7 linked regions of the Callithrix jacchus genome follow. The protein of the gene in region 5 interacts with the protein of the main gene of each other region in a pairwise test. Links are inferred from orthologs where the notes say so. Each region holds a gene or a part of one and is shown on either strand. Other genes may lie near its edges.

Region 1 (3,992 bases), on a different chromosome or scaffold from region 5:
AAGGATGCAGTGAGCCATAATCAGGCCACTGTACAGCAGTGTCTAGGCAACAGAGGTAGACCCTGTCTTCCCCCACCGCCAAGAAAAAGGCGTTAAGTTACAGAACTCTCAGAATTAGAGACAGCTGCTGCAATCAAATGTATATATCCACATCATAAGGAGGATTTCTGGATAGATCGTGATGTCTCTTAAGAGACATCCAGCCTACCACCAGATGTCAGTGTCAACACGAAGTAGTATCCCCACCCTGGGTCCCAGCTGCTCTGCTGCCAGAATTCTCCCTTGACCTTCATGACCAGGCAAGCTCAACGGAGGTGTTAAAAGTGTTTTTCTTCTCCCTTTGAATCCCACCTTGATCCTAGCCCAAGAGGCCCACTTAAGATGCCAGGAGCAAGTGCTAATAACATGCTTGTTTAAAGCCTCAGTGGCAAACCACATAGACCCAGAACAGTGCTGTGACTACTGATCTGCCCTTCAGCCATAGGCAGTCACAAATTTCTGGAGGAACAAGCGAGAAAACTGCCCTCTTCCCACCCAAACAGAATACTCACGTGGTTGTATTCCTCTATGCGATACAGCTGATCAGGTGTACACCTCTCCAAAACAGGTTCAAGAACGGAGTATGGGACTCCTCCCACTTCAAAGATTGCTGCAGAGAAATCAAAGGTGAAGGCATTGAATAGCAGCCAAGCCACCCAGTGATAAGGTCCAAATGCTACAATGTGCTTGAGAGCTAGAGAGAAGCGTGTGACTTACAATCGATATTGTTTTTTAATACTCGGATGCATTGCTGATGCAAGGTCATCATTTTGGGGAGATAGGCACATTTAGAACCAGAATACACCTGCATCTTGGAATTCATTCTGCGCCCAGTAAATCCAGCTTCTTCTTCTTCCTGGGGTGAAGAGAATGCTATAGGGCAAGAAAAACCCAACAGGAAGTTACAAAAGGCCCTAAGTGATCCAGTGAAAACTCTCCTTCTACCCACATCAGCCCCTACTTCCCTTTCCCTTTCCCAATGGCAATCAATGCTACAGTTTCTTGTAGATTCTTCCAGAGACTTTAAAAATAAGCTCCTGTATTCCCAGCACCTTGGGAGGCTGGTGGATCATCTGAGGTCAAGAGTTCAAGACCAGTCTGGCCAACATAGCAAAACCCCATCTCTGCTAAAAATACAAAAATTAGCTGGGCATGGTGGTGCGCGCCTGTAGTCCCAGCTACTCAGGAGGCTGAGGCAAGATAACTGCTTGAACCCAGGAGGCGGAGACTTCAGTGAGCCAAGATGGAGCTACTGCACTCCAGCCTGGGCAACAGAGGGAGACTCCCTCTCAAAACAAAACAAAACAAAACAAAAAAAGCAAATGTCTCTTATTCCTTTTAAGCCAATTAATCAGTAACATACACATCTTACAGATCATTCCATGTCAGTGCATAAAGACATTCTACTTTTTTTTTTCACTGTGGCATAGGATGCCACTGTGTAGATAAACCATGATTTATCTGTTAGTTTCCTGCTGATGGACACTTATGTGGCTTCTAGTTCTTTTGCTATGGAAGTTAGACATTTTTTTCTTTCAGACAAAAATCATAGGTAAAAAATAGAATAAAGGGCTGCTAATAGCAGCATCAATTTACTGAACAATTACTATGTGATAAGCCCAGAGCTAAAAGACTTCACTTTCGAATTCACCAAACTGAGCCCTATAGGGCAGATGCCATTATAACTCCCATTTACTCAATATACAACTAAGGTCCAAAGAAATTAAGATATTTCTCAAGGTCATATAACTTTTAGAAACCAGAACTGGTATTCAAACACAAGCCATCAAACTTCAGAGTATATGCACTTAGGAAATACACCAAAAATCTGATGGTATAGTGATAGAAGTTTTTTGTTTGTTTTGAAACAGTACTGCTCTGTCACCCAAGCTAGAGTGAAGTGATATAATCATAGCTCACTGCAGCCTTGAATTCCTGGGCTCAAGTGATCCTCCCACCTCAGCCTACTGAGCGGCTTGGACCACAGGTATGTGCCACCATGCCTGGCTATTTATTTTGTAGAGATGGCATCTTGCTGTGTTGACTAGGGTGGTTTAGAACTCTTTTTTTTTTTTGGCCAGGCCTAGTGGCTAACTCCCACAATCCCAGCAATTTGGGAGGCTGAGGCGGGCAGATCACAAGGTCAGGAGATTGAGATCAGCCTAGCCAACATGGTGAAACCCCATCTCTACTAAAAATACAAAAATTAACCAGGTGTGGTGGCATGTGCCTGTAGTCCCAGTTACTCAGGCAGCTGAGGTTGAGTGAGACCCTATTTCAAAACTTTTTTTTTTTGAAATGGCGTTTCACTCTTGTTGATCAGGCTAGAATGCAATGACTCACTGCAACTGCTGGCTCCCATGTTCAAGCGATTCTCCTGCCTCAGCCTCCCAGGTAGCTGGGACTATAGGCATGTGGCACCATGCCCGGCTAATTTTTGTATTTTTAGTAGAGATGGGGTTTCACTGTGTTGGCCACGCTAGTCTCAAACTTCTTATTTCAGATGATATGCCTACCTAGGCCTCCCAAAGTGCTGAGATTATAGGCATGAGCCACAGCGCCTGGCCAGTTTAGAATTCTTGGCCGCAAGCAATCCTCCTGCCTCAGCCTCCTAAAGTGCTGGAATTATAGGTGTGAGCCACTGCACGCTGCCTTGAATGAATTTTTAAATCTTTTCTCCATTAAGAAAAAGAAGATTATAGAAAATTACCTTTTCGCTTTGGCTGGAAGGAGGATATCAGCTCAAGGGAAGGCAGTGGACGGTAATTGGCCTGTATTGCGGGTAACGGGAGGTCTGGCAACGCCGGCAACACATCAGGCACCTGCAGGGGACAGACCCCGGGGAGAGAGACCATGAGTACCAGCACAGCCCCCTTTCCCACAGGCTATTCCCAGGAGCATTCACGGGACACCCTGCACAGGAAGATCCAGGCTGGGGGGGCCACAGTCATGTCTGACAACACCTCAGTCAGGAAAGAAATACAGATGGGCCCATCACAACAGAATAGTGCTGGAGATTCTTATTTGGGGTACAATCTACCTTGACAACTAGTGAAGCCCAGAGGAAATTACTGCAAACTGAAATTCAACAGGTCCCCTAAAAGCAAGCTAAGGAAAACAATGACAGGGCGATCCTCTGAGCTTTGCAGGGCCCGGTGCTCTGGGTGGGAAGCCAGTAAGGGGCTGAAGGGGTTACCTTTCTCTGCTTGGCTGAATGGGCTCCAGCCGGCTGCACCTTCTCTGACTTGGTTTTGTTCACCTTGGGTAATTTCTGAACTGAGTCCAAGTTTTTACTAGTGCTTTTAGAGTCATTTTTTTTAAGTCCTTTTTCTCCAAGTGCTGTGGCTGAAGTTTTCACAATCTTTTTCTTTTTCTTCCGGGGCTGGTCATAGCTGAGGTAGGATTCAAAAGACATGGTGGGCTGCTCAAACTCATCCTCCATATCTGTCTCCTCAACTTTAGGGAGGGAGCCCAGTGACTTTCTATCCGAATTAGTCTTTGCTTTCCCTTCTTGAGTCTTTAGGTTGTTAGAGCCCTTCTCTTTGACCTTGGGCAACAGGTCCCCTGCTCCTTTTCCTGCATCGAAGCTGTCCAGACCTTGCTTGCTTTTGTCTGATCTGGCTTTCTCCGGGTCTCTGTGCTTTGGCTTCTTCAGGTGGTTGTCTGAAGCAGCTTCCGAGGGGGGCAAAGACCTCTTCTTCAGGCTGCCGACTTCTCTGTCCTTCTCTTTCTTTACGCCACTAGAGGGCGGTTTCTCCCGTGCACTGTCCCCCAAGGACGACCTTCGGTTCTCCTCTTTGGAGAGGGCCTTGTGTGATTTCTCTCTGCTCACCACAGAGGCCTTCTCATCACTCTTGGCATCCACAGGGCGTTTGTCCTTGTGGGATTTGTGCTCCTTGTTTTGACTCACAACCCCTTTCCCGTGGGGCTCACCCAGGTGTCGTTCTTGACTG
Region 2 (3,992 bases), on a different chromosome or scaffold from region 5:
CTAAGGAAGACTGTAAAATATATGGAAAGGCTTCCATTAAAAAATGGTTAAAAGGAAATACAACTAGTACTTAAATTCTTTAGAAAAAGTCAGCTTATTCTCTAACAATGCAAGGCAACTGAGACAGTGGGGTGTAGAGTTCTGAGAGGAAATGCAGCCAAAACATGCATCACTCCATATCCAAAGGGATCTGGCCCTCAATTCAGACAGCAATGACCACCTGTACATGTTAAACAGAAAAGCCATAGGTCTTCCCTAAGGCCACCACCGCAGAGAACACCTTTTTCATTTACCCTCTAAAGTCTTTCCTCTTTTCCCCAAATCCTAGGAAGAAAGAATAATGATTGGGGCCAATATCTCCACACTGCAGGACTTCCCTCTGAGAAGTCTCTTCAAACTCAAGAATTTTAAGCCAAGATCATATTTTGTGCATTATCCTTAGCCCTTAAGCACTCTGGACCAAGCACTTAATATTGTAATTGGTTTTCCAGCGCTTTCTCTAAGTTTCTGCTCGATTGAGTTAAAAGCGCTGCTGTCCTTAATTTGCTTAAGGCTTCAAACATGATCTAAAGGAAGTGGTGCACAGAGCTCTCATCATGTGAGAACAATTCAATGTGATGTCTTGCCAGGAATGATAAACCCTGGTGACTTGATAAGAAAATCTCAGAGTTCAGATTTCAGATGAAGTTAGCTTTCAGGCTGGCATGCCCTTCCAAGTACATCTAAGGCTCCACAAAATTGATGACACCATAAAGGAGCCCAGTCTCCACCACCACGATGCTCCTTCCCCCAAGAGAAGCAGTTGCCTCTTTCTGGAAGGCTTTGAATGCCTCTCAGATCAGTCAACAGGACTCTTGAATGTACACTTACTCATGGTGCTAGTAACCTTTTCAGAGGACAACAGTGGCAGTAGGTAGTACATAGTAGTCTTATAGTGTGCATTTAAAAATGAAACTGAAGCCTACTAGAACCAATACAATACAAATACATCAAACTCTATCTCCCAAATGCTTGTTTTGGGGGTCTCTCTGTAGAAAGCGTATTCGGAAAGACGTTTGCAAAACTGGTGGAGTATTTCCATCACACCCAAAAAGGCTGCCTTCTGGGATGCAGGCTCCAATTGACCCCATGCCTGAAACTACCCCCACAGCCTGCCCACTGCTGGAAGTGGTCTGCTGCCCCAGTCGAGTGACCTCCTATCTCCGACTCACTGCACACACACAAAACTCATCTCTTTTAAGAACCCTTGTTTTCTTTTCAATTCATCTCCTAAGTGCTTTAAAAGCTTTTCAGAGATGAACTCAGTGGCGCTGCCTGGCGAGGCAATGACCTTGGGATTATATGGTTTACAAAGAAAAAGCAAGCAAACAACAAAAGGCAGTGTCAGAAACCAGCCACAAGGCTTGCAGTGACTGCTTTCTCTGGGAGACAGACCGAGTAGAAACAAAGTAAATCACTTGGGCCTTCTGCTTACACAGAATGGGCAACCAGGAGAGAAAATGATGTTTGAGCCCGTAAAATACAAGAGGGGGAATCTTAGGAGAGAAGCAGAACCACCTCTGTGAGCTAAAAAAAATTTTTTAATTAACCTTCCAACTCCAGAAATGGACACATACTATCCCCAAAGCAGATGTAAGGAAATCACGGAGTAGCCAACGTTATACTAAATTGCATTCATCTACATCTCCCACTTCGCACAATGTGAAAAGGGTGTGGCACACAGAGCCACCTTGCAAGGCGCATTTACTGCCTCCAGGAGAAGCAGCGGGCGCAGCGCACTTACCGAAGACTCGCTGTCCCTAATGAGGAAGTCGCCCTCTACGCCGCGCTCATTGAGGGCGCACTCGGCCTGGTGCCGCGTCACGTTCCCGTAGTACCACTCTCTGCCTGCGAAGCGCCCACTGGACGAGGGCCCGGTGTAGCTTATCTGTGGGGCGTGCGCAGGGTGCAGGGCGGGCCCGTCACTGAGGACCACCACGTAGTTTTTGGGGACGAGGCCCACCTGGCCCCGGGCATTTTTGCATTTCCACCATTCGGGGTCGTTCTCAGGCTTCTCGATCACCTCCATGGTTTCCCCCTTCTCAAAGTTGAGCTCCTCGTCGGTGACGGAGCTGAAGGGGTACAGCGTCTGGACCACGTGCAGCACACGGGAGCCCTGGCCGTTGCTCAGCGAGGCGCCCTTGCGCAGGCTCAGGAAACTCGGGGACTCTGCAGCCGCCTCATCCACCTCTTCCAGGACGTAGTTGGAGGGGAACCAGCCGATCTGCCCATTGTAGCTGCCCCGCCACCAACCGTCACTGCACTTCTCCATGACGGTGACGCGCGACCCCTTCACCAGGGACAGCTCATCCTCCCGCTCCGCCACATAGGCGAACTTGACAAAAGCGGGGATGTTGAGGTCGTAGATGCGGTCGGCGCCGCTGCCGTTGGCTGGGTACTCGGCGTCCGTGCTGGGCGTGGGGGACGCGTCCCGCGCGCTGGTCTTCCTGCGCGTCTTGCCGAGGCCTGTGGAGACACAGCAAGGCTCAGTGGCGCGGGGCACTTGGACACCACCCCACTCCCTAGCTTACTGGGATTTCCACACAGTTTCTCTGGTGGTTAAATACAAGGGGACACATGGACAGTACTTACTGTGTGCAACAGGCTGAAGCCCTGTCTCTAAAATCAAACAAAACCAAAAAGTGCAGGAGTACCAGTGACACAAAAGATAAGAACAGTAGAAAGTTTCCTTCTGAAAGAATCATTTTTAGAGCACTGTTGTGCCTCTCAGAAAAAGTCTAAACACAGAAAAGTATCTTTTTCATTTCTAGAATGACTGGGAAGTCGGACTAACCGAATTACCATCAGAAAAATTAGGTGCTGACAGCTGCCTCCTATAGTTGTGAAAGTATTTCAAGTTGAGAATTACTTACATTGATCTGTTTTACCCATAAAAACACGTCATGGGGCCAGCACAGTGGCTCACACCTGGAATCCCAGGCTTTGAGAGGCCACGGTGGAAGGGTTGCTTGAGGCCAAGAGTCTGAGACCAGCCTGGGCAACACAGCAAGACCCTGTGTCTACAAAAAATCACTCCACTGCACTCTAGACTGTGCAACAGGGTGAGGCCGTCTCTAAAATCAAAACCACAAAGTACAGGAGTACCAGTGACACAAAAGATAACAAGAACAGTAGAGTTTCCTTCTGAAATAACCATTTTTAGAGCATTGCTGTGACTCTCAGAAAAATAGAGTATAAACGCAGAGAAAACATCTTTTTCATTTCTAGAATGACTGGGAAGTCAGACTAAATGAATTCAAAGACCACTCAGAACTCTAAGACCGATCCAGTCTTAGGGAGCACGGCCACACCCTGCCCTGTCCTGCCCCCAGCTGCCTTGCCATGGCTTCCTCTACTCCTTGGACACTCACTGCCCCTACCCTCACCCCTGGGCAGCTTAACAGCCCTTCTGGGCAAAACCTTTCTTCTCTTCTTGCAATTCTTATCTTCTTTCAAACAGCAGACTAATTTCCCACAACAAATTGTGATGAGTGAATTAGGAAAAATTAGCTGATAGCTTAAATCGAAGGCAAAATTTTTCATACTGTGATTCAAAGCCCACTAGTGGATGATGAAAATCACTTTAATGGGTTGCAACCAGCCTATATGTATGTGTTGAGTTTAAGGGAATAAAGTAGAAAATTGCAGTGCATCAAACACAATTACAATAAGTGCTGTTTCTTCAGTCACAGATGTGAGTATTGAATAGGAATGAGAAACATTGTTTCCTGTGCATGAGGAAAAAAGCTAGAAAAGCCCTAACGTAAAAATGTTTTGGCCGGGCACGGTGGCTTACGCCTGTAATCCCAGCACTTTGGGAGGCCAAGGCGGGTGAATCATGAGGTCAAGAGATCGAGACCATCCTGGTCAACATGGTGAAACCCCGTCTCTACTAAAAATACAAAAAATTAGCTGGGCACAGTGGTGCGTGTCTGTAATCCCAGCTACTCAGG
Region 3 (4,612 bases), on a different chromosome or scaffold from region 5:
TTTTGTTAGATTTATACCTAAGTATTTCATTTTATTTTGGTGCTAATGTCAGTGAAGAAATCCGAAATATGAACTGCTCTAAAATGTGAAGCATTTTGACTGCTGACATGAGGACCAAGGGAATGGCTCACCGGACCATTTTGGTTTTTGGAGTAGGGATGGTAAAGCTGTAATTATATAATGAGAATTTCATAAATGCCAAAAAAAATCCAAAATTGGAAACATTTCTGGTCCCAAGCATTTTGGCTTAGGATCAGCTTGTTTTAAACTTGTTCATGAAAATTTACTGTAATTGCTTTTCATTCTATTTTTTAGGGGAGGGGTGTCAATTTTCCTGGATTTTCTATGTTAGATAACCATCTCATCTGAAAACAAAAAGTTTTATTTTCTCATTCCCAATCTACCTTGTGATTATTTTTAAACGTCCATTTTCATCAGCCTAACTACATATAACCTTACTGAGAGCAAAGTTTTCTTTTTTTATTTTTAATTTTTTATTGCATTTTAGGTTTTGGGGTACATGTGAAAGTTTTCATCTTTAGTTGTCACCTCTTTTACCCTCAGATTTTTTTTATTAGTTTTGCCAGATATGATTGTGGCACTAATTTAGCTATAAACTGCTTGTAAATGCTATTTTGTCAAGCACTCTACAGTATTCCACGGTAACTATGATTATTCTTGGGTAAACTGTGCCTCAGTCTGTCTGTAATGCGATGTTGTATTTATTTTATAGACTGATGTGAAGACCAAATAAGACTATACACTAAGTTCGTAGAGCTATGGCTGGCACATCATCAGCCCTCAAGAAATCATCGTTATGTTTTTGTATTAGGAAACAGTAATTACTTTTGCGCAGCACCACACAGAACTCTCAACAGCGAAGGAATATCAGCTCAGGCGGACAAAGATTAGTAACTTCCCCTTCGACCCCCCACATTTCAAACAGAAAAATAAGGCAGGAGTTGAGAAGGGGTAGTGAGTGAGAGGAACATTTGTGAGCCTATGGTGGAGAGGTACAGCAAGAGGAGAGTGAGGTTAGGACAGCAGTGGTGGAAGTCGAAGGCATCCCAAGAGGGAGCATGGGCTCCCGAGACCTGTTTGAATTGTAGGCGACCAGAACCAAGCGACCGTGAGCTGCTATACACACGGTAGTGAGTGGGTGGAAAGGGGCCAGCGGGCACGAACTGCCAGAAGAGCGGAGAAGACGCGGAGCATAACCGCGGGGCAGCGGCCAGTTGGCACAGCGGGCCACCTGCACGGCCCTACATTGCCAGATACCGGTAGCTGCAGGAACTACCCACGCCCAGGTCCCTTTACTCCCGCCGCCCGGTTACCTAGGGAACCGGATCACCTGACCCGGGGCCGTGCGCCTGCGCGGGCGGAAGGCGGGGGCGGTGCCGTGACGCGCCTCGGGGGCGGTCCTCCGGCTCTCGCCGCTCTGCTACCCTTGGGCCTCAGAAGTCCGTGCCAGTGACCGGAGGAGGCGGCGGCCGTGAGTGAGTCCTTGTGGGCTAGGTGAGAGGCCGAAAGGGGGCAAGAGGGACGCCGGTGCCGGGTCCCGGGCGCGGGGACGTGGGGCAGAGGCGTGATGGTCCCCGGGCCTTTTAACCGAGAGCGTCCTGGTCGCAGCCGTTTTCGGGAGGCGGCGGCGACGCCCTCTCCTCAGGGGCTCCGCGCCCCTCCCTGCGCCGTGCTGGCTGCGGGGCAAATTTGCGGGAGCAGCGCGCTCTGCTCCCCGGGACCCCGCGGGTTTCGAGCTCCTCTCCGGGCTGGGGCTGGGGCTGGGGTGGGTAGAGCCCCGAGGCACGGCCGGGTGAACGCCGGCAACCGCGGCCCCAGCTCTGGGATTCTTCCTGGGACCGTCTCTCGATCCTCGTTGTTCTCGCTCGCTAAGATCTCGAGACAAGTAAAGAAAGAGCCTCTGGCCGCGGTTTCTCCCCGCGTTTCTTGGGCTGCGCTTCCTTTTGGGTTATTTGGAACGTCCTGTCTCCCCGCGTTTCTTGGGCTGTGCTTCCTTTTGGGTTATTAGGAACGTCCTGGATTTGAAAGCAGGAAGGAGGTGTTTAGTGGGCGAAACCTTGACTTGTTTGGAAGCGGGTGGGGAGAGGTTGTTCGCCCTGAGCTTTTTCCTGGTGCTGTTGGACCTGAAGGAGAAACGTTTCCCGCAGAGTATGTTTAGAAGGAAATACTCCTGAGATCTGATGACTCACAGCTTTCCTTTCAGGATTTCCTTGTAATGATGGGAAAGGGAAGGCATATGGATGCGGAAAGTTTTTACTTTGATCAAAGTGGGATTATTGAGTCATGGAGGCTTCGAATGTGCACATTTTTGAAAGGAGTTTCTAGGATCATCTATTCTATATAACCGCATACACATTTACGGTTATTTTTTCCATTACGTACTTTCCTTAGAAAGTACACTCGGTTTACCGAGCTCTAACATCCGCTTGTTTAGTCTCTCCATTATAAACGAAATTGAACTTCAGAGACATTTTTAGTTTTGGGCATTATAGGAAAAGATGTAAAAGTCATAAAAGGGGAAGAATTTGCTAATGGTTGCCAGTTAAATGTACTGTTTAATTAAACAGTTTCTTAAAATGTGCGTGGCACAACTATTTTCCCTGTTGCCAGATTTGGGTCCTTTTTATAGGTATTAAATGCCAAGAGATTATAAAAAAGGAAAGCTCCCCAAACAACTTTAAAATACTTTCTACACTTAGTAATAGTTACGTTCACATTGATTAATTTTCTTTCAAGTGCTGCCAACATCTTTTGTAAATATTGTCTTCGAGTAGGTAAACGGTCACGTGTCTCAAAATTTAAGCAGCATACAAAGGTATATAGTATGAAGTCTCCTTCCTTTTGGCAGGCAGCCAACTGTTTTAAATTTCTTGGGTATTCATCCGGGAATATCCTATCTACACAGGCAAACATACAAACTGCATCTGTCTCCTTTCTTTTAACATAAACGTTAACATTTTATATACTGCTCCACATTTTGCTCTTATTTTTCCAGTTATTGATAATATTTTGGAACTTTCTAATATCAGCATATATAGCTTTCAGGTCTTTGGCTGTTACAGTCAGTGCTGCAGTGAATGAACTTTTACATATGTTGCTTCCTTTGTGCACATGTGTTTGTACAGTTCAGGTCTTGAAATGATACTGCAGAGTTGAAGGGTATTTGAATTTAGAATTTTAGTAAGCTACTGCAAACTCATTCTCCATGGGAATTGTACTAGTTTACGCTCCCACTAGTAGTGTATGAGTGTTTCTCAAAGCCTTGCTGTCGGAGAGTATTGTCAAACTTTGGATTTTTGCCAGTTCAGTAGCTGAGAAATGGAATCCTAGGGGTAAGAATTAATTATTCTACTTAGAGTGGACTTTATATGGACATACTTCTTAATGCCTGATCTTCAGAAACTCCCAGGATATTTATTAAAAAGCAGAGTACCTAAGTCCTTCCATGAAATTTGTATCTGTTCAGGAAGCTGAGGTTTTTTGTTTTTTGTTTTTTGTTTTTTTTGAGAGGAGTCTTGCTCCGTTGCCAGGTTGGAGTGCAGTGGCGCAATCTCGGCTCACTGTAACCTCCGTCTCCTGGGTTCAAGCGATTCTTCCGCCTCAGCCTCCCGAGTAGCTGGGACCACAGATGCATGCCACCACGCCCGGCTAATTTTTTTGTATTTTTAGTAGAGACAGGGTTTCACGATGGCCAGGATGGGCTCGATCTCTTGACCTTGTGATCCGCCTGCCTCAGCCTTCGAAGTGCTGGGATTACAGGCGTGAGCCACCGCTCCCGGCCCAGGAAGCTGTTTTTATAATAACTAGAGCCTCTGGTAATTTGGCTCTGATGAATAGCCATATTGAGAACATTGCTCTGGAAGGCTGCTTAGGATATATAAAATTGTGTTTCTAGACTCCATGTATGAGCTATCTGGAATGCTTACCATCTGGGGGACATGTTATTTTTTCATTTTTTTACTTTTTATTTTTTTTGAGATGGAATTTTGCTGTGTTGCTCAGGCTGGTCTCAAACTCCTGGGTTAAAGCAATCCTCCTACCTCGGCCTCCCAAAGTGCTAGGATTACAGGCATGAGCCATGGTTCCTGGCCTGATACTTTATTTTTATTTTTTACATTTTTCATTCATTTTATGAATAGTTCGCATAAGTGAAAATAAAGAGATAATGCAACACAACTTTACTAGAAATTTTAATAACTGCTTCAACAAAAGAAACACAAATTAGTATTCCAGATTTTCCTGGTTTTGAAGATATGGATAGTTGAAATAGGCAGCATCTTTAAATTTAACTAATTGCTCAACTGTCATGTAATATTTTTTAAAAATCAGTGATTCTGTAGTCCTAAATTTTTATTTTTCCAAAATGTTTTTAATACAGTGGTTCCCAACATTTTTGGCACTAGGGACTGGTTTCATGGAAGACAGTTTTTCTATGGACAGGATGAGGGGATGGTTTCAAAATGAAACTATTTCACAAGGAGTGTTTAACCAAGATCACTATAGGGTTCCTGCTCCTATGAGAATCTAATGCTGCCACTGGTCTGACTTGAGGTAGAGCTCTGGTGGTAATACTGGCTCACCTGCCACTCAG
Region 4 (3,992 bases), on a different chromosome or scaffold from region 5:
GACCAATTATGAATTAGCAGTTTAGGTTAAATTTTACTTCTGTCTTTTCTTAATGACAACCAAACGGCTCCAGATGGGTCTTTTTCTCAGGGTGGGCTTACCAGCCCTTGACATGGTCTTTGGATTAAGAACAAGATGCTGTGTGGGAGTTTGGGCTTTGGGAATGCTGGGGTAGAAGTGGCCGGTGCATTGAGTCTGTGTTGGTGTGCACTGTACGTGACTTTGGATGATTCACATCATCTCTTGGGCTTGGGTTCCACATCTGAAGAGAAAGGTCAAGAGGAGAGTGCTCTAGGGACCTTCCTAGTTCTAAGTGTCTGCAGCGCTGGGCTGTCTCTAACTTCCATGAGAAATAATTAAATAGGCTTCCTACTTGTGGCTCAATTAGCTGAACTATAGAATTGCAAATTGTTGGAGGTAGAAGGGGTCTGTGGTCCAGGGTGGGGATGAAGCTTGTCCAAGGAAGCTGGTTGGAGGCGGAGCCAGGGCTAAAACCCTCCTGCCTCCTGCAGCGCTTATTTCAGGCTGGTCACCATTCCCCTCTTCCAATCTCCAGTTTCAAGTAAGATAAAATCAGGCATACATGTATGCATTTTTTCATATTTAAGTGACATTGATTTAATTTGGTTTTGAAAAATGTCTAATGCCGTTGAAATAATCTGAGACACCCTGAGACAGTGCAAAAATTGGCACAATCATGGTGGGAAGAAAAATTACTGGAAATTCCAGCCCAATTGGCCACTGATTCACTGTTGAATTAGAATATGTCACTATGGTGAACTGCCTCTGTAAAAGGGACTCATTGGGGAGGAATTGGTTACTTACCCACCAGGGCTAAACACCAGAGATCCACACTCTATCCTGGCCCAGGAGTTGCTCACATAGAATTATTTAGGACATTAGTAGATTCCTAAAAAGCAAGAGCTTTGATGCATCTTAATTCCCCTGCACTGAAGTCCCAGGAGGTAGCCTGAAAACAACCAGGCAAGGCTGCTATGATGAGGGTATGAAGTTCTAATCCTGGCTCTGTCCCCAAAGTGTAGTGGGACCTATCCTTGTGTCACTATGCTCATTTATGGAATGAGTGTCCCCTGAAGCTCAGACATATTAGGATTCTAAGCAGAAATGTGAGCAGAATCACCTGGCCTTCCTCTCCTACTGGCTTTTCATCACTTCAGTAACCGCTGCTGCTGAAAATTAGGGTAAGGAATAAAGGAAAGGAGGGACAAATGGTGAGCAGGCACTTCAGGAGTTATTTTTATACATATTATCACATTAATAGGCATATCAGTGTATCTTGCTTTGGGAGAAGGATTTTTATCTGTAAGTGGTCACCTCAGATGCCTGAACATGGATGTCACTACCATTCAGCAGTTGCTCCCTTGATTGTCATCTCAGAGTACAAGGAAGGAGCTGTCTTTGACTGGGACTGTTCTTGGGTGCTGGAGTCTTGCCCTTGCTTTTGGATGGTGTCTAACTGAGCCTTTCTGGGATGTAAAAGAAATTACCACGGATCTCTGTGCAGTTACTCTCCTTAGCCCTCTGCATCCTGCCACTTGCTGTCTGGATGATGGCTTCCCATCAGGCAGGGGAGCCCCAGCATTCTGGGGAGATACAGGAGCACGGTTTAGGACCCAGCTTACAGGGCCCACCGCTTGTTTTCTGTAGCTGTCTGGCCTTGTGATGGAGAATGCATGGCTGAGAGGTCCACAGGCTGACCTCTACCTGTTTGGCTCAGCTGGATGTCAGTTCTGCAGTGGGTTTTTACCTTCAAAATCTTCAATATCTATCACATTAGGTAAGGTGGGTAGTGCTGTAAGTAATTGAGGGTCAGATCTAGGCTAGAAGGGAACTGAAATGCCATCTGCTCTTGCTAATCACCTTCAACCAATAAGCCACATGTCCCAATAAACACAAAAGTGAGCAATGCAGTGAGCTAACACAGCCAACCTTTGTTTGTTTGCCTTTGTTTATTTGCCTTCCCTTATGTAAGTCTCCTTATGTAATCTGGCCTAAACCACTGGAGTGAAGGTTAAGAGGTAACTTCAAGTTAGACACAGAATGGGCCAAGGTTGTGGGTAACCGAATGTGTATGTTTCTGAGAGAGTAGTCCCCAAACTAATCAGAAAAGATTTTCAGGTTTCTCTTGTTTGGAGTTTTTGCCTTATTTCTCCCTTTCTTTGTTATAGATAATCAGTAGCTAACTGTAAGGGGAGACTTACAGGCATAGACATTCTGCCTGGTTTTATGACTGAGCCCAGCTCTCTGGTAGGAATCTATCTGAGCTGATTCCAGAGCAGTTAACTCAATGGAGTGGATTGGACTGTTCTAAGGAATAGAGTAAAATTATACAGAAAACCATCTTTAGGTCACATTTCTTCTTTAATGGGGGCAATGGGAGTTTTCTGAGTGCCAGTGAAAGCCATTGTCTTTGAGGCCCAACTCCATGAAGCCTTGGAGAGCACAGATCCCATTTCAGTAGGCCTGGATTGAACTCACCTTTTCCTTTCACTCTGCTCCAGAATTGAGCTCCGAGCCCTGGGCAAGATCTCGGAAGGAGAGGAGCTGACTGTGTCCTACATCGACTTCCTCAACGTCAGTGAAGAACGCAAGAAGCAGCTGAAGAAGCAGTATTACTTTGACTGCACGTGTGAACACTGTCAGAAAAAACTGAAAGATGACCTCTTTCTGGGGGTGAAAGACAACCCCAAGGTACACACAGCCCTGTTGCTGGGGTGTTTGTGTCCATCTTCTCCAGGAGACAGTCACAGGTGGTTTCACAGCTAATCAGTGTGCCCTGCCCATGAGCTTCCTAGGGAGCAGCTGTCACCCTGGGGAGGTGGCAGAGGATGAGAGCAGAGCACTATATGGGTAGGTCCCAGCTATGTCCTGGCACTGCCACTTATAGGTGTTTGAATTTGGGAAAGTCGCCCAGTTTTCTCAACTGTAAAATAAGAATGATGGCCCCAAAGCAAGAGGTTCTTAGAAGGATTAAAGAAGATGATGTGTTAAAGGAGTGGCATGCAGAGTAGACACAGCAAGTTCTGGTTTCTCCTCTTGCTCTTTTCTGAGTTGAGTGATGCTGATAATTTAAGATGTTGAGATCAGATGGGCAAAGAGATTTGTTCTCTGGCTATCACAAAAACATTCCTAGTCCCATGGGGATGGGCAATGTGGAGGCAGGGCTATGTTTAGATTGGTCAACATCCTGAACTCCTGGGTAGCTATTGCCAATTGATGGTGAGTGTGTTGTGCAGCAGAGGAAGGCTTGATGAGAGGAGGTCAGGAACCCAGCTGAGCTGGGAGAAAGAGCTAAGCCACCAGGTGTCAGAGTAGCCAGTTAAAGCAACAAAGCAGAAATGAGAGCGAAGTATTTAATCACTGATTGCAATAGTATAAGCAAGAAGCTAAAACCAAAGAAAGCGCTGACTCCTCTTGTGCGTTTCCTCCGGTGAAGCTGTGTTCAGGGGGAGGATGAGGGAGATCAGTAAAGGCATGGAGGCATTTCCCATGGCAAGCTCTTTTATAAGGGTACCAGTCATATTGGGCTAGGAGCCCACTCTACTTTAGTATGATCTCACCTTAACAAATTACATCTATAGTCACCCTATTGCCAAGTAATATCTCACTCTGAGGTTATTTCTGGGGCTAGACTTCAACATATGAATTTTGGGAGGATGCAATTTAACCCCCAACACTGTGTATGCTACCACTTATGAATGTTAAAAGACACATACACACACATACAGACACACGCACACACCTGTGCCTGCAAGCATACTCTGTCTATACAGACAGAAGCAGGAGGAGGGAACTGTGACCAGTGATGCCTGGGGTGAAGAGATTGAGAGTCACCCCTCCCAGGCAGAGACAAAGCAGTTGGGGCCCAAGGATTAACGTTTTCTATGGGAACAACCTCCTTTTCAGAGAATCAAAGTTTCTGTATTCTAGGAGATGTATGTTGGATGTACGTAAGAGGCACTGAGCACTGC
Region 5 (3,588 bases):
TGGTTTCTGTCTCAATAAGCTTCATACAATGGGTTGAGAGAGATTTGCTTGCCCTTTTTGTTGTTATAAACAACCACATCTACCTTCTTGTCCTCTGCTACAGACTCCCTACCAACAACAGAGGCAGACTGGATTACCCAGTAGAAGAGGAGCATGGAGCACTTCTAGATAGACGATCTTCAAGGTCTGATGTATACATACTGCTGAAAGATAGACTGTAGCATCCAGTACCCATTGGGGTGATGGCTCTGGAAAAAGTACCCTGGTGTTGTTTCCTGGTTTCACTCTACCTTATGCTTCCTCATCTTTACCCTATTCACCCTTATCTCCTCCCAGGACAGTGGTCAGGTCTTAGAAAAGGCTAGCGCTTCAAGATGATGTTTATATCTCTTCCAGAAGACACAGGTAGCTTCCCTCATTTCCTACAACTTGAAACAAAGATTGTAAAAATAATTCTTGGCATCATATTTGGTTGGGAGTTGGGAATGGGGATGTGGTGGGTCATATACGCATCACTGTTTCATTTCTGGTTTTAATTTTTAGCTTTGGATATACTCTCCCATTGTCAGTGTTAACAAGCAAAACAAAACATCTCTGTTCTTTGTCCTTGTACTTTTTCTGTTTGCCTATTGTTTCCTCTATGCTTAATTACTATTAAATATGTTAATTTTCCTTTCTATTGAAAACAACTGTTAGAAACACTGATTTTCAGCTTAGTAAAATATATAGGTAGTAAAATTAAGAGGATGTCCTTTTATTGCTACGATTCTATCACTATTACAAGCTCTGGAATGGTGGAATGGCAAACAACACTACCACTGAGATCAAACATGTATTCGACTTTGGGTACTAAATGGCAGAAATGAGGAATTTAATATGTTAGCCACTCACAAACTGGCCTTAAGCAAAAATACTGGGAAAACAGAAAATAGCAGGCATCTGTCAGAAATAAATTAGGTCTTGGGAATTATCTTGTTTATCTGAACTAGGATCCCCATACCCTTTCTGGTACTCTGAATTTATTTTTAAAGGAATTTCTAGACACCTTCTCTTTTGGGCAAGAGCCTGTTCTGTAGCAAATGGAGTTACCTCCAAGACTCTTGTATCTCTGTTACTCCTGAAGCCTCAGAAATTTTAGTCATTATCATTTGATGGCTGAGAAACAATCTGCCTGGTGATAGATGCTGAGCTACTTCCTTTTAAAGTTTTTGTTTTTCTTTTAATTTACCTCAATAAGTCCTGCCCCTTCAAACAATAAAAGTATGTTGAATTCGAATGTTAATGGATTTGGTTCCATTAATCCCTAAACCATAGCAGTAGCAAAGTGGATGAGAGAGAAACAATTTTATTTTTGGCCTTTTTATTACTATTCTAGCATCTTAGGGCTTCCACTCTTTTATTTTTAGATGGTTAACTCATTGATGATACCTATTTGCCATATAGCTGTTCCCAACTAATGAAAACCATTCTAAAACATCAATAATTGATTGACTCAAAGACCATGGTCCCTCTGTCCCTAAGACAGATCCTATAAAGAGAGGGAAAAGTCTCTTTTCTGGAAACAAACTGGCAGCAAAAAGATGAAGAATTAGTCTCTGTCAAGCTGGACAGAAGGTCGTTATGAGGTTTGTAAAACCAAACCTGAAACCTACCTCCACTGCCCTTCAACCAGGAGAAACTGTTCCCTCTCTTTCACCCCTTTGTAACATAATTCTACTTTTTAAAAGGTCTTCTTTTCTAATAAATATCCATTCTAAATTATTCTCCACCCAATTAAAGTTTTTCACAAGCTCAGTGGGGGAAGATTTACCCTGAGACAAATAGTGAACAGAGTGAGGATTTTGGAAAGAGAGAAAAAGCTACAAGGCAAAGGGTGGTCCCAGCATAAGAAATGAAAATATTCTGCCACCTGTGATTCAGTCATGAAGCAGGTGAAACATATAAAATCATGATGTATGAGGAAAAGGAAGTTAATATTTGTGATGAGACTGGGACTTACTGAGAATCTCAGTTGTCTAGGAAATGATCAGTCATTAAGAAAAAAAGTAAGAGAGTCAGTTGCATTACACACAGACTTGTGTTCAGAAAAGGAGTGCAAGGGAGCCTTATATTCCAGGAAAGATGGTAGGGTTGGGGATGCACTGGAATCATCAATCGAATTAGAATCCTTTACTCCTTTCCAATCCTCCTGGAGAGGTGTGGCCAAGGTCTGGCCTCTCTATAGTACACTAAGGGAAAAGAACAGCAGGCATGAGGAGGGCAAATGCCATTTCCCAGCCCACGGTTTCTCCAGATCCTTGGTACACTCTACACTGAGCTTAGAGGTCTGGATTTCTGCTGATCCAATCCCAGCCTTACTTAGTGCCCTATGGTCATCCTCCCTGGTTCACCCTCACTACATTCCCCTGCCACCCACCCTGAAGAACACAAAACTTTTTAGTTCTCTGCCACAAGGTAATTTTAAAAATGTGGTTTCTTTGTTTAAACAGTTGCTAAGTTGGTTCATCTTTTAGTAACAGACCTCCCCTCCCCCAGCTCCCCACTCAGTCTTGTATGATCACATCATCATCATCATCATCATCTTCTTCCTCCTCCTCTTCCTCATCATCTTCTGGCAGTTCTTCCTCCTCCTCTTCCTCTTCTTCATCTAGACAAACTACCACTTCAGCTGGCTGAGGTAATCGAGAGTCAAACCAATCCAGTACCTGCTGGGTGCTAAGCCTTGAAGCCTGACTCAGTTGAGGGATATCAGTCTCCCGTAGCTGTTGGTGGGCTGCCCAGTACCTCTCCAAGGGCTGCATATCCGGTGGGGGTGGAGGGGTCGGCAGAGGTGGTGTCTCAGCCCTTTCATTCAAGGAGCGGGTTGATGGTGGAGGTGGTGTAGGAATTACTGGGTCTTGGAAACTAGGGGCACCAGGTACTGCATTGTCCCGAAACCATTTTAGTTGCCCATGCTTCAAGGCATAGCGTGTGTCACCAAACCACTGAATGATTTCAGGCCGAGGTAAACCAGTGATCTGTTCTAACTTATGGTAATCTTCACGCCGTGCCCATTGGCACTGTAAAAAAAAGGATTTGAGGATAGCCAGCTGCTCTTTGGTTTTGCGCTTGGGCTTTCGCTGGCGTTGCATATCTGGGGATAGGTACTCTGTGGGACCAACCCTACCTGGTAATGAGTTATGCCGTAGCCCATGGGGCCAGGCTGATTCCAGGTGTGGGGGTAATGCCTGATCACTGGGTGACACTGACTGTGGGATACAGCCTAGTGGCTGAAGGGGTTTGGAGGTGGCAGTTGCTCCATTAGATAGTACCTGGAAAGAGGAAGAAGAGGTAGAGGAAGAAGAGGGAGTAACACTAGATGCTGACTCCTCCTTACAACTACTGGCAATTAATGCAGTTGGTGGGGGCTTATCCCGTGCTTGTGGCTGGAGGACAGTTGTGGAGTGGTTCCAGGAAGCAGTACCTATGCCGTGTGACTGGTTGGGACCCCTGCCTGCCTGCTCCTTTGAGAGGCCACTGCTTTGAAGATCTTGCCAAAAATCTGATTGGTGGGGGAATGCTCCACTGCCAGGTGTTATCAGGGACTCC
Region 6 (3,992 bases), on a different chromosome or scaffold from region 5:
ACTTAGTCTAGTTTCTGGAATAGGACCTCCTACCCCAATTCAGGCATTATCTTCAAGGTAACAAACTTCACCCCAAATCAAGAGAAATTATTTTAGCATAATCCAATCTCTGGCAGCATATGGAAGTGGCTGCCTCTGGAAAAGGAAACTGGATGGCTAGGAAAGAAGAAGTTATACTTTTGAATTTTATACCATGAATTACCTGTGCAAAAAAAACCCCAAGTAATTTTAAAATAAATAATATTCATTAGGCTTCCATGAATTCTGTACCTTGTTGTCCGTAATTGTCCACTGACCCTCATGATTCTGCTTCAAAACACAGTGGTTTCGAGAAATCATCAGAGGGCAGATTTTTGATACCAGTTGGTATGTGACACCAAATCCTCGTCCTACAGTCACCTGGGAAGACAAAAACAATGTAAGAAATACAATGTAACAAGTCATTGTGCTGAAAAAGGGAGGTTTTTACAAAGCTTGTCAACCAGCAGCATATGCAGGTCCTGACTTAAGAAAACAGACACGTGTGGAAGCAAAACAGTGCATCTGCTATCTCCTCTTTAGCTGCCATGAAAGCCACCAAGTAGAAAAAGGCAAACAGTTGTGACAAGAGGAGAAAGCTGAAAAGAGTTATCCATGTACCTCAGGGTTGGCAAGATCTTGAAAGGTCATCGGGTTCAGTGACCATGAGATAGAGGAATTCCTTCTACACATCCCATCAACTCATAAACACTGCCGGTCTGGGAGCGGTGGCTCATGCCTGTAATCCCAGCACTTTGGGAGGCCAAGGTGGCAGGATCACAAGGTCTGGAGTTTGAGACCAGCCTGGCCAACATGGTGAAACCCTGTCTCTACTAAAAATACAAAAATTAGCTGGGTCTGGTAGCGAGCACCTGTAATCCCAGCTACTTGGGAGGCTGAGGCAGGAGAATCATTTGAACCCAGGAGGCAGAAGTGTACTTTACATAAGGCAGGCCCTCCTATTTTTTTAATGTCTCTGACTTGGCGTCTTTCACCCTATAAATTCCATCCATTGTTGCCCTGGGCACCATCAGGAAATCTCTGATCCCCTTTCAAAGTCACAGCTATAAAGTGAACATTAAGTTTTCTCATTTCCTGGTTCTGTATTCCCAGTTACTTCAACTTAACTCCCAGGGAATGGGTTTGAGTCTCTTTGCCATTCTTACGAGTCTGTGAAAGGACTGCTAATTTATCTTTATTCCTGGATGCCATATTAAGAAAAATAAATTACACAGTCAAATGCAAGTGTTACTTTCCCAGTTCTAGATATTATCACTGACCGTATAAACTGCATTAGCTGTCATAACAGATCTAGTACACTGCCAATGTATCCTCGGACTCAGGAAAGATTAAATTTCTTGGTCTCCCCCTCCTCCAAGAAATGCTATGCTAAGTCATGTCTCTTTTGCTCTATACTTGACCAGATGGAAAACCTTAGGTTCAAGCACAGGACCTTAGACTGATTCCTACTAAATTTCATCTTGCTAGTTCAGCCTATCACACCAACTTGCCAAGACCTTTCTGAATTTTTAATCTGCCATCAGATCAGACATACTTAATATCCCTCCCACCAAATTAGTATGATATGATGCCTTCTATACCTTCATTCAAGACCCAGAATGGGACACAGCCAAAGGCAAAGTTCTCAGGAAAGTCTGAACATTAATCCCCACAGTCTGGATATACCCTGGGCCAATTATAATTCAACCAAAAGTCTTTTCATTCGAGTATATATTCTCTGCCTTATCCACAAGAACAGCTTGAGAGCTTTTGGAAAGGTTGAAAAGAAGCCCCAATTCACATCTATCATACTTTCCTGTTGGACAAATCTAGTTCATAACAACCCTATGAAGGAAGGAAACTAAATTCTTCCGAGATCCAGATCACAGAATTCCCTGCTTATTCTTCTCAGTGCATAAAAGACCTCTTTAATGCCCCATACCACAACTTTAACTGTGAACTTGAAACCAAAGTTAGCTAAAAACTGCCCTTTTCTTTCAAAAATCTTTCAGAATCATGCCTGTCCTCCTCGGTCCCTCAAAGACCACTATGACTCACTGACCTCATCGATTCCTCCCCACAGACTCTCATCTCAGTACTGACACTACTATCCAACCAACTGCTCAACCCATAACCCAGAAGCCATCTTTGATTCATCTCTGTCCCTCATCCCCACATTGAAATCATTGGCAAATTCTATGGGATATAATCCAAATATGTCCTAAGTCTGTTCATTTCTAGCTCTACAGCCACAACCTTAGTTCAAACCACCTGGCCTCCTACTGTTTCTGTTCCCACTCTAGCCCCCATAAACTTTACATACTAGCTGGAATAGAAACATAAAAATTTTAAATCAGATAATTCTCTTTTTTCCTTAAAACCATTTAATCACTCAAACTTCCTTCCATGGCCTATAAGACCCTGAATGTCCTAAGCCCCCTCCTCTTTAGTCTTAACTCATACCATAGTGCCAACACTAGCTGCTCCAGCCCCTTGTTCCTTAAGCCCCTCTCCCCCAAGTGCCAGCCTACTGAGGGTCTTTTTTCTTCGCCCCTCTAAGAACACGCTTATCTCAGATCTTGCATGAGCTCCTAATCTTTCATGTTTCGGCTATTCATAAGCCTACTCAGATCACCACTGTCTAAACTTGGTTGTCTGCTCCCCATCATATTTCTTCAGTTATTAGCATGCACTTATCACAAACCAAAATTATCTTGCTTATTTTACTTTTCCCCTCCTCCCCCCCTTGCTAGAATATACATGAGATAAGCAGGGACTTTATCTATCTGGTTTAACATTGTGTTTCTATACCTGGCATGGTGTTCAGTTAAATACTTGAGAATGAATGGTAGAATAAAGAGATCTTGCATATGAGTGGAGATTTTAGGATGCGTATTTTTAGGTTGGAAGCTGGAGACTGTATTACCATTGGAAAATATAGAGCAGCAGTTGGAACTCATATGGTCTCACTTGTTCCTCTTTAAAATGCTGTGGTGACCCCTCCACCAACACTGAGCATGAAATTTTTCAGTTCTTTCACACTTTGCCAGAATTACATTAATTATAGAAGTTCCTCTGAATTAATACATATATCTGTTAAAAATGGAATGGTTAGGGATTAATGTGTCATCCATATTGAGTAAAAATTTCCATTCAGGTAGCTTTATTTCTAAGAAAGGAAGCATCTGTATTGTAGGCTAATACCTGAAGGGAGACAGCCGGACTGCCATTGTGAGTAGCCTGGGGAAAATGGTACCAGAACAGTAGAAAAATGCCTTCTTTTGAAATTTCTGCCAACAGACTCTGAACCCAGAAAAAGGAAACATCCTTCCCTGCACTGCCGGGTCCTAGAATTTACCTTGGTACTACTGATATTTCACCTATACTATAGTTAAAGAGTGTGGTGAGGCTCCCTGGAAATCTCAGGACCACTCAGCAGAACACTAAATTTCCCGTGGGAACTGACTGATGACCCCTATGTGAAGGGCTGTTTTCCTTTACAATAGATTTGCAAGCCTTTGATCTTACACACATTGTTGGTCTGAAAGATCATCTTGTCCTTGTCCACCTTCACTATGATTATCCCTTTCCTCCTGCGCACAATTTCTACTGTTTCCCAAATAACCAGGAAATACAGCCGGGTGTGGTGGCTCACACCTGTAATCCCAGCACTTTGGGAGGCCCAGGCGAGCAGGCCAGGAGTTCAAGACCAGCCTGGCCAACATGGTGAAACCCCCCTCTCTACTGGAAATACAAAAATTAGCCAGGGATAGCGGTGCACATTTGTAATTCCTACTATTCCAGCTACTTCCAGCTACTTGGAAGACTGAGGCAGAAGAATCCTTGAACCCAGGAGGTGGAGGTGTGATCACACCACTGCACTCCAGCCTGGGTGATGGAATATTCTGTCAAAAAAAAAAAAAAAAAAAGCACCACAAAACAAAAAGCCCCAAACCAGTAAATATAACCATCCT
Region 7 (3,992 bases), on a different chromosome or scaffold from region 5:
TTTCATCAATGTTATGTTGAACTGTTAAGCTTATCCAACATCCAAGTCTCTAGGCAATTGTCTTTTATGTGGAATGGACAAAGATCTTGTAATTTCCAGTGTAACTATTTGGTTTTCAGGGTTCAAATGACTCAATTAAATTTCACTGGAAAGAAGCACATTATTTCTATGGTGCAGTCTGCCTTTGGACAGAATGTTAAGCAGCACAGCTATGTCAAAACTAGTTTTACATAATGTCTGTGCTTCAGTACCTTGAATTTGTCTTGTTGAGTAGCTGGGAAGTTTTATGAAAGATATAGCCTGAATAGCTCAGTTAACTCAGCTGAAAGATAGAAAGAAATGTGACTTGGAGAAAACAAAAGAAAGAGCTTCTAGGATCTGATAGCTCAAAGCGATAGTCTAAGGTCATTTAATTTATTGGAATTAAGTGAGAAGCTATTGAATGTACATTGAAATTGCTTTGAAAAATAAAAGACACCTAGGGAACTGTACACAAACAGAGGCTATAAGAAGACCAACTAAGAAAGGAAGTGTCGTCACAGCAATGAAAAAATACGCGAGTTCGCTTTTTGTTATCTGGGATATGCAGGGCCTCCAAACTTTTGCTGATTGAAATCTCTCTCCCCTAACCCGATGTTCCTGCTTAAAATTCTTGCTTCATCTAGAAGAGTTACCTACTTTTCAGTAGCTGGGATCAAAGGAGAGAAACCAGTGATCTGGACACCTGTAACTAAGTGATGGTACCAAATGCTTAGAATTTTATCTTTTCTTTTTCATTCTTTGTTTTCACTCATTCCTCTGTTGCCTCAAATTGCTAGTCATTGTACATATGCTCCAAAAAGCTTCTTACAACCTTTCTTGACTAGTTCATCTTACCCTGTTATGTATGGTCGTGTCTACACAAGGCCAGAGTTCCCAAACTGTACTGTATTATTTGGCCCCAAATATTTTCGCCCTCCAAGTTATCTGTCTACATGGAGGGTATACTTGAGGTAAGGCATGGTGACAACTGACCAGGTGTCTCCCACTGACAGCCAGTCATGAGGCTTTGATGAGGATCCCTTCAATGGGACTGAGCAAACCTATTTGAAACAGACATTCTGATGAAATATTTTGCAAGGCAGAATCAGTTTCCACATTGAGACACCCACACCCACATTTATTAGTTAACTCTTTCCCTGAAAAAATTGTTTTCTTGTCATGTAGACACGACCTACAAGCAATATAACTATTTGAAAAGAGTAAATCTGTAAACATAAAATTCAGTATTAAAGAAATACACAATAAATGCAGTGACCTGTGCTTTTAGCAGGACACCAAATAAAATAATAAAACTACTGAGTGAGACATTGCAGTAGTATATTATTACCCAGATCCCCAATTTACGCTGAACATTCAACCCTAGAAAATGAGAACAAAAAGCCCCATTTTTACAAAAAGGATTTTTAAGATTCTAATATCAATGCAGAGCACATTAAGCCCTCTACACTAAAGCTACAAAGTATACTGAATGGCAATGGTCAATTAATAATAGTTCTAGAAAATGAAATATCAGGTTTCTTTTTCTCTTAGATTTGAAAAGCAACAAAATGTAATTCCATGCTTCATATGATTTTTTTTACTGTCCCCAATCCCTGTATATTACATGCTTTTTTGTGGCTTAATTGTATTTTTATTTTTTTTTCTGAGATGGAGCCTCACTCTGTCGCCAAGGCTGGAGTGCAGTGGCACAATCTTGGCTCACTGCAATCTCCGCCTCCCGGGTTCGAGTAATTCTCCTGTCTCAGCCTCCTGAGTAGCTGGGAATACAGGAATGTGTCACCACACCTGGCTAATTTTTTTGTACTTTTAGTAGATACAGGGTTTCACCATGTTGGACAGGGTGGTCTTGAACTCCTGACCTTGTGATCTGCCCACCTCAGCCTCCCAAAGTGTTGGTATTACAGGCATGAGTCACCACCACCACCATGCCTGGCCTATTGCGACTCAATTTTTAACTGAATTAGAATTAATTTTCTTTTTCGATGCAATATATACACTAATTTGTATGTTTGTTGTCTTCATAAAGACATCATATATTTTTGTTGTCTGCAGTATAATTTGAATTTAAACAGTTCTTTCTGTATAAAAACCAACATTCTAAATGCCAGGGTTTTTATTAAATAAAATAATGTGTAGGAGAGCATTTAATCCCTGCTTATTTTTCTGTTTCTTACTGGGAAGATTATTGCTCATTAGATATAATAACTGGTAGTCCCATAGCAGTAACTATGTGTAAATTCTATAAACAAATTAGGCCTGACTTTAATATAAGTGAGTCCATTCAGAAATGGGGGAAATATTCCTTTTATAGGTTTAATAAAAAAATCATACTCTTTAGGTCACTAGAGAACAGTTTTGTGTCCTAGGAGAGGCATTTTGCCTTAATGGCTAGAAAGCAGTTGAAGCACCATCCCCTCTAACGGTTGGAGTCAAATTCTTTCTTACTAACAATATTTAGGTTAGATTTGATGAATAATGCCCCTGCAGGTTATGAACTCTCAGAGAGCATTTAGTCATATCCATGAAAGACTATTATGATCCATTTCCCCCACAATATAAAGATAAATACTGATCATCTAATTCATTCACGTAGTTCATGCTTCCCTACATGTGCTTAGAAATGCCAATAAAGTAACACTAAAGGCAGGAGGGATATTCTTACAGAGAAACGCCAGACATACCCTGTCTAACCGTCTAGCTTCTATATGTCTAAGCAGCTGTTGTCTCCAGTCTGCAGGCATTTTACCACAGCTCTCCTCTCCCTTCACAGGAGTAGGCCTCGTCTTTAAATCACTGTTATCTGATGGCTTGTCACCATAGTTACCCAAGTTATAGTCAGATGGTATTTTTTCCAAAAGAGCTGCCATAGTAGGCCTAGCTGAAACTGGCCTGGTTTGGGAGGCACCGTAACTCTCTGTACTGTAGCTTCTTGCAGACAATGGCCTCCTCTGGGTAAGGTTTTTAACTGGAAAACTTCCCGCCTGAGCTTTCACTTCTTGATATGAAGGGTGTTCATCTTCATACCTGCCATTCCTTTTCAGGAACTGGGACTCAGTCACTGTAACGCTGCTTTGGCGATCCAGCCCTCCCCTATATGGAGGTCTGCCGTACCTATCAGTAGGGGGCAGCTCGTGAGGCTCATTGACCCTCCTAAACATGGCCATTTCTGTGGCGCTCACCAGGGAGTCGGCCCTTCTCAGGAAGCCTGCCCTGGCCCCTTGGCTTGCGAACTGGGCATTCACCACAGCATCCTCGTTCACAGATGGCTGAGAAAATGAAAATATCTGCTCCATCGGTGGGTATCCTCTGTAAGCTCTAGGACTGATCAAATCCTTGGCGATGTTTTTGCTGGCCTGTTGCATGTACTCAGGATTGTGTTGAAAAGGGGGTGGTATCCTCTTTTCGGCTTTCACTTCCACTGATCCTTGAGGATTGAAGCTTTGGTCAAATTGATAGACTTTTTTTGTCATAGAAGCTTTTTGCTGTTGTGGCCCTTTACTACTTCCGTAGGTGAGCATCTCATCATCCAGCATCGGGACTGACTGGCTTCGAGACATACTGGACATACCATGCTCTGGTCCCAGCATCTTATCTGGTCGTTCGTGGCTTCCTAAGTGATCACTCCCAGTAGCATAGTTTTCTAATGGTATGTTATACACTTTGTATGTACCAATGTCAATCTCATCGATACTCTGTGACTTTTTGAATTTATTGGACTTGATATCTTTCATTAAGGGAGAAAGCCTCTCTGTGCTTTTGCTAATTGAAATAACACCTTTAGAAGATTCCGGGCGGCAGTGGATTTGAGAAAAGACATTACTAAGACTCCTGTTGGGATTGGAATCATGATACTCCCATGGTACACCTGGAGAAAAAGGACTAGGTATTTCAGTAGATTCCTTTATATGTTCTTTCCTCTCAGGCAATGGGCTAGTAGTGGGGGTTGTCTC

Evidence for each region.
Region 1: the proteins of HOMEZ (region 5) and ELOA interact in binary tests that used the Homo sapiens proteins (3 or more experiments, as listed by UniProt). The two-hybrid records come from large-scale screens. The link is inferred for Callithrix jacchus from reciprocal best matches to the Homo sapiens genes HOMEZ and ELOA.
Region 2: the proteins of HOMEZ (region 5) and NCK2 interact in binary tests that used the Homo sapiens proteins (3 or more experiments, as listed by UniProt). The two-hybrid records come from large-scale screens. The link is inferred for Callithrix jacchus from reciprocal best matches to the Homo sapiens genes HOMEZ and NCK2.
Region 3: the proteins of HOMEZ (region 5) and SDCBP interact in binary tests that used the Homo sapiens proteins (3 or more experiments, as listed by UniProt). The two-hybrid records come from large-scale screens. The link is inferred for Callithrix jacchus from reciprocal best matches to the Homo sapiens genes HOMEZ and SDCBP.
Region 4: the proteins of HOMEZ (region 5) and SMYD1 interact in binary tests that used the Homo sapiens proteins (3 or more experiments, as listed by UniProt). The link is inferred for Callithrix jacchus from reciprocal best matches to the Homo sapiens genes HOMEZ and SMYD1.
Region 6: the proteins of HOMEZ (region 5) and RNF8 interact in binary tests that used the Homo sapiens proteins (3 or more experiments, as listed by UniProt). The two-hybrid records come from large-scale screens. The link is inferred for Callithrix jacchus from reciprocal best matches to the Homo sapiens genes HOMEZ and RNF8.
Region 7: the proteins of HOMEZ (region 5) and LRRC7 interact in a two-hybrid assay, tested with the Homo sapiens proteins (2 studies listed by BioGRID). The two-hybrid records come from large-scale screens. The link is inferred for Callithrix jacchus from reciprocal best matches to the Homo sapiens genes HOMEZ and LRRC7.

Annotation. Positions count from the first base shown.
Region 1 is NC_133508.1:60,494,251-60,498,242, reverse strand, and holds part of ELOA (elongin-A), read right to left. Parts: coding exon 3,236-3,992; intron 2,862-3,235; coding exon 2,750-2,861; intron 913-2,749; coding exon 757-912; intron 650-756; coding exon 552-649; intron 1-551. UniProt on the Homo sapiens protein: SIII, also known as elongin, is a general transcription elongation factor that increases the RNA polymerase II transcription elongation past template-encoded arresting sites.
Region 2 is NC_133515.1:15,944,938-15,948,929, reverse strand, and holds part of NCK2 (cytoplasmic protein NCK2), read right to left. Parts: intron 2,506-3,992; coding exon 1,784-2,505; intron 1-1,783. UniProt on the Homo sapiens protein: Adapter protein which associates with tyrosine-phosphorylated growth factor receptors or their cellular substrates. Maintains low levels of EIF2S1 phosphorylation by promoting its dephosphorylation by PP1.
Region 3 is NC_133517.1:14,796,577-14,801,188, forward strand, and holds the start of SDCBP (syntenin-1), read left to right. Parts: upstream 1-1,469; 5' UTR 1,470-1,496; exon of another isoform or gene 1,497-1,515; intron 1,516-4,612. UniProt on the Homo sapiens protein: Multifunctional adapter protein involved in diverse array of functions including trafficking of transmembrane proteins, neuro and immunomodulation, exosome biogenesis, and tumorigenesis.
Region 4 is NC_133515.1:26,030,856-26,034,847, reverse strand, and holds part of SMYD1 (histone-lysine N-methyltransferase SMYD1), read left to right. Parts: intron 1-2,522; coding exon 2,523-2,712; intron 2,713-3,992. UniProt on the Homo sapiens protein: Methylates histone H3 at 'Lys-4' (H3K4me), seems able to perform both mono-, di-, and trimethylation. Acts as a transcriptional repressor. Essential for cardiomyocyte differentiation and cardiac morphogenesis.
Region 5 is NC_133509.1:57,617,404-57,620,991, forward strand, and holds the end of HOMEZ (homeobox and leucine zipper protein Homez), read right to left. Parts: coding exon 2,544-3,588; 3' UTR 727-2,543; downstream 1-726. Other genes in the region: E3 ubiquitin-protein ligase RNF212B, read left to right, coding at 104-172. UniProt on the Homo sapiens protein: May function as a transcriptional regulator.
Region 6 is NC_133505.1:45,698,105-45,702,096, reverse strand, and holds part of RNF8 (E3 ubiquitin-protein ligase RNF8), read right to left. Parts: intron 400-3,992; coding exon 271-399; intron 1-270. UniProt on the Homo sapiens protein: E3 ubiquitin-protein ligase that plays a key role in DNA damage signaling via 2 distinct roles: by mediating the 'Lys-63'-linked ubiquitination of histones H2A and H2AX and promoting the recruitment of DNA repair proteins at double-strand breaks (DSBs) sites, and by catalyzing 'Lys-48'-linked ubiquitination to remove target proteins from DNA damage sites.
Region 7 is NC_133508.1:107,306,924-107,310,915, reverse strand, and holds part of LRRC7 (leucine-rich repeat-containing protein 7), read right to left. Parts: coding exon 2,724-3,992; intron 1-2,723.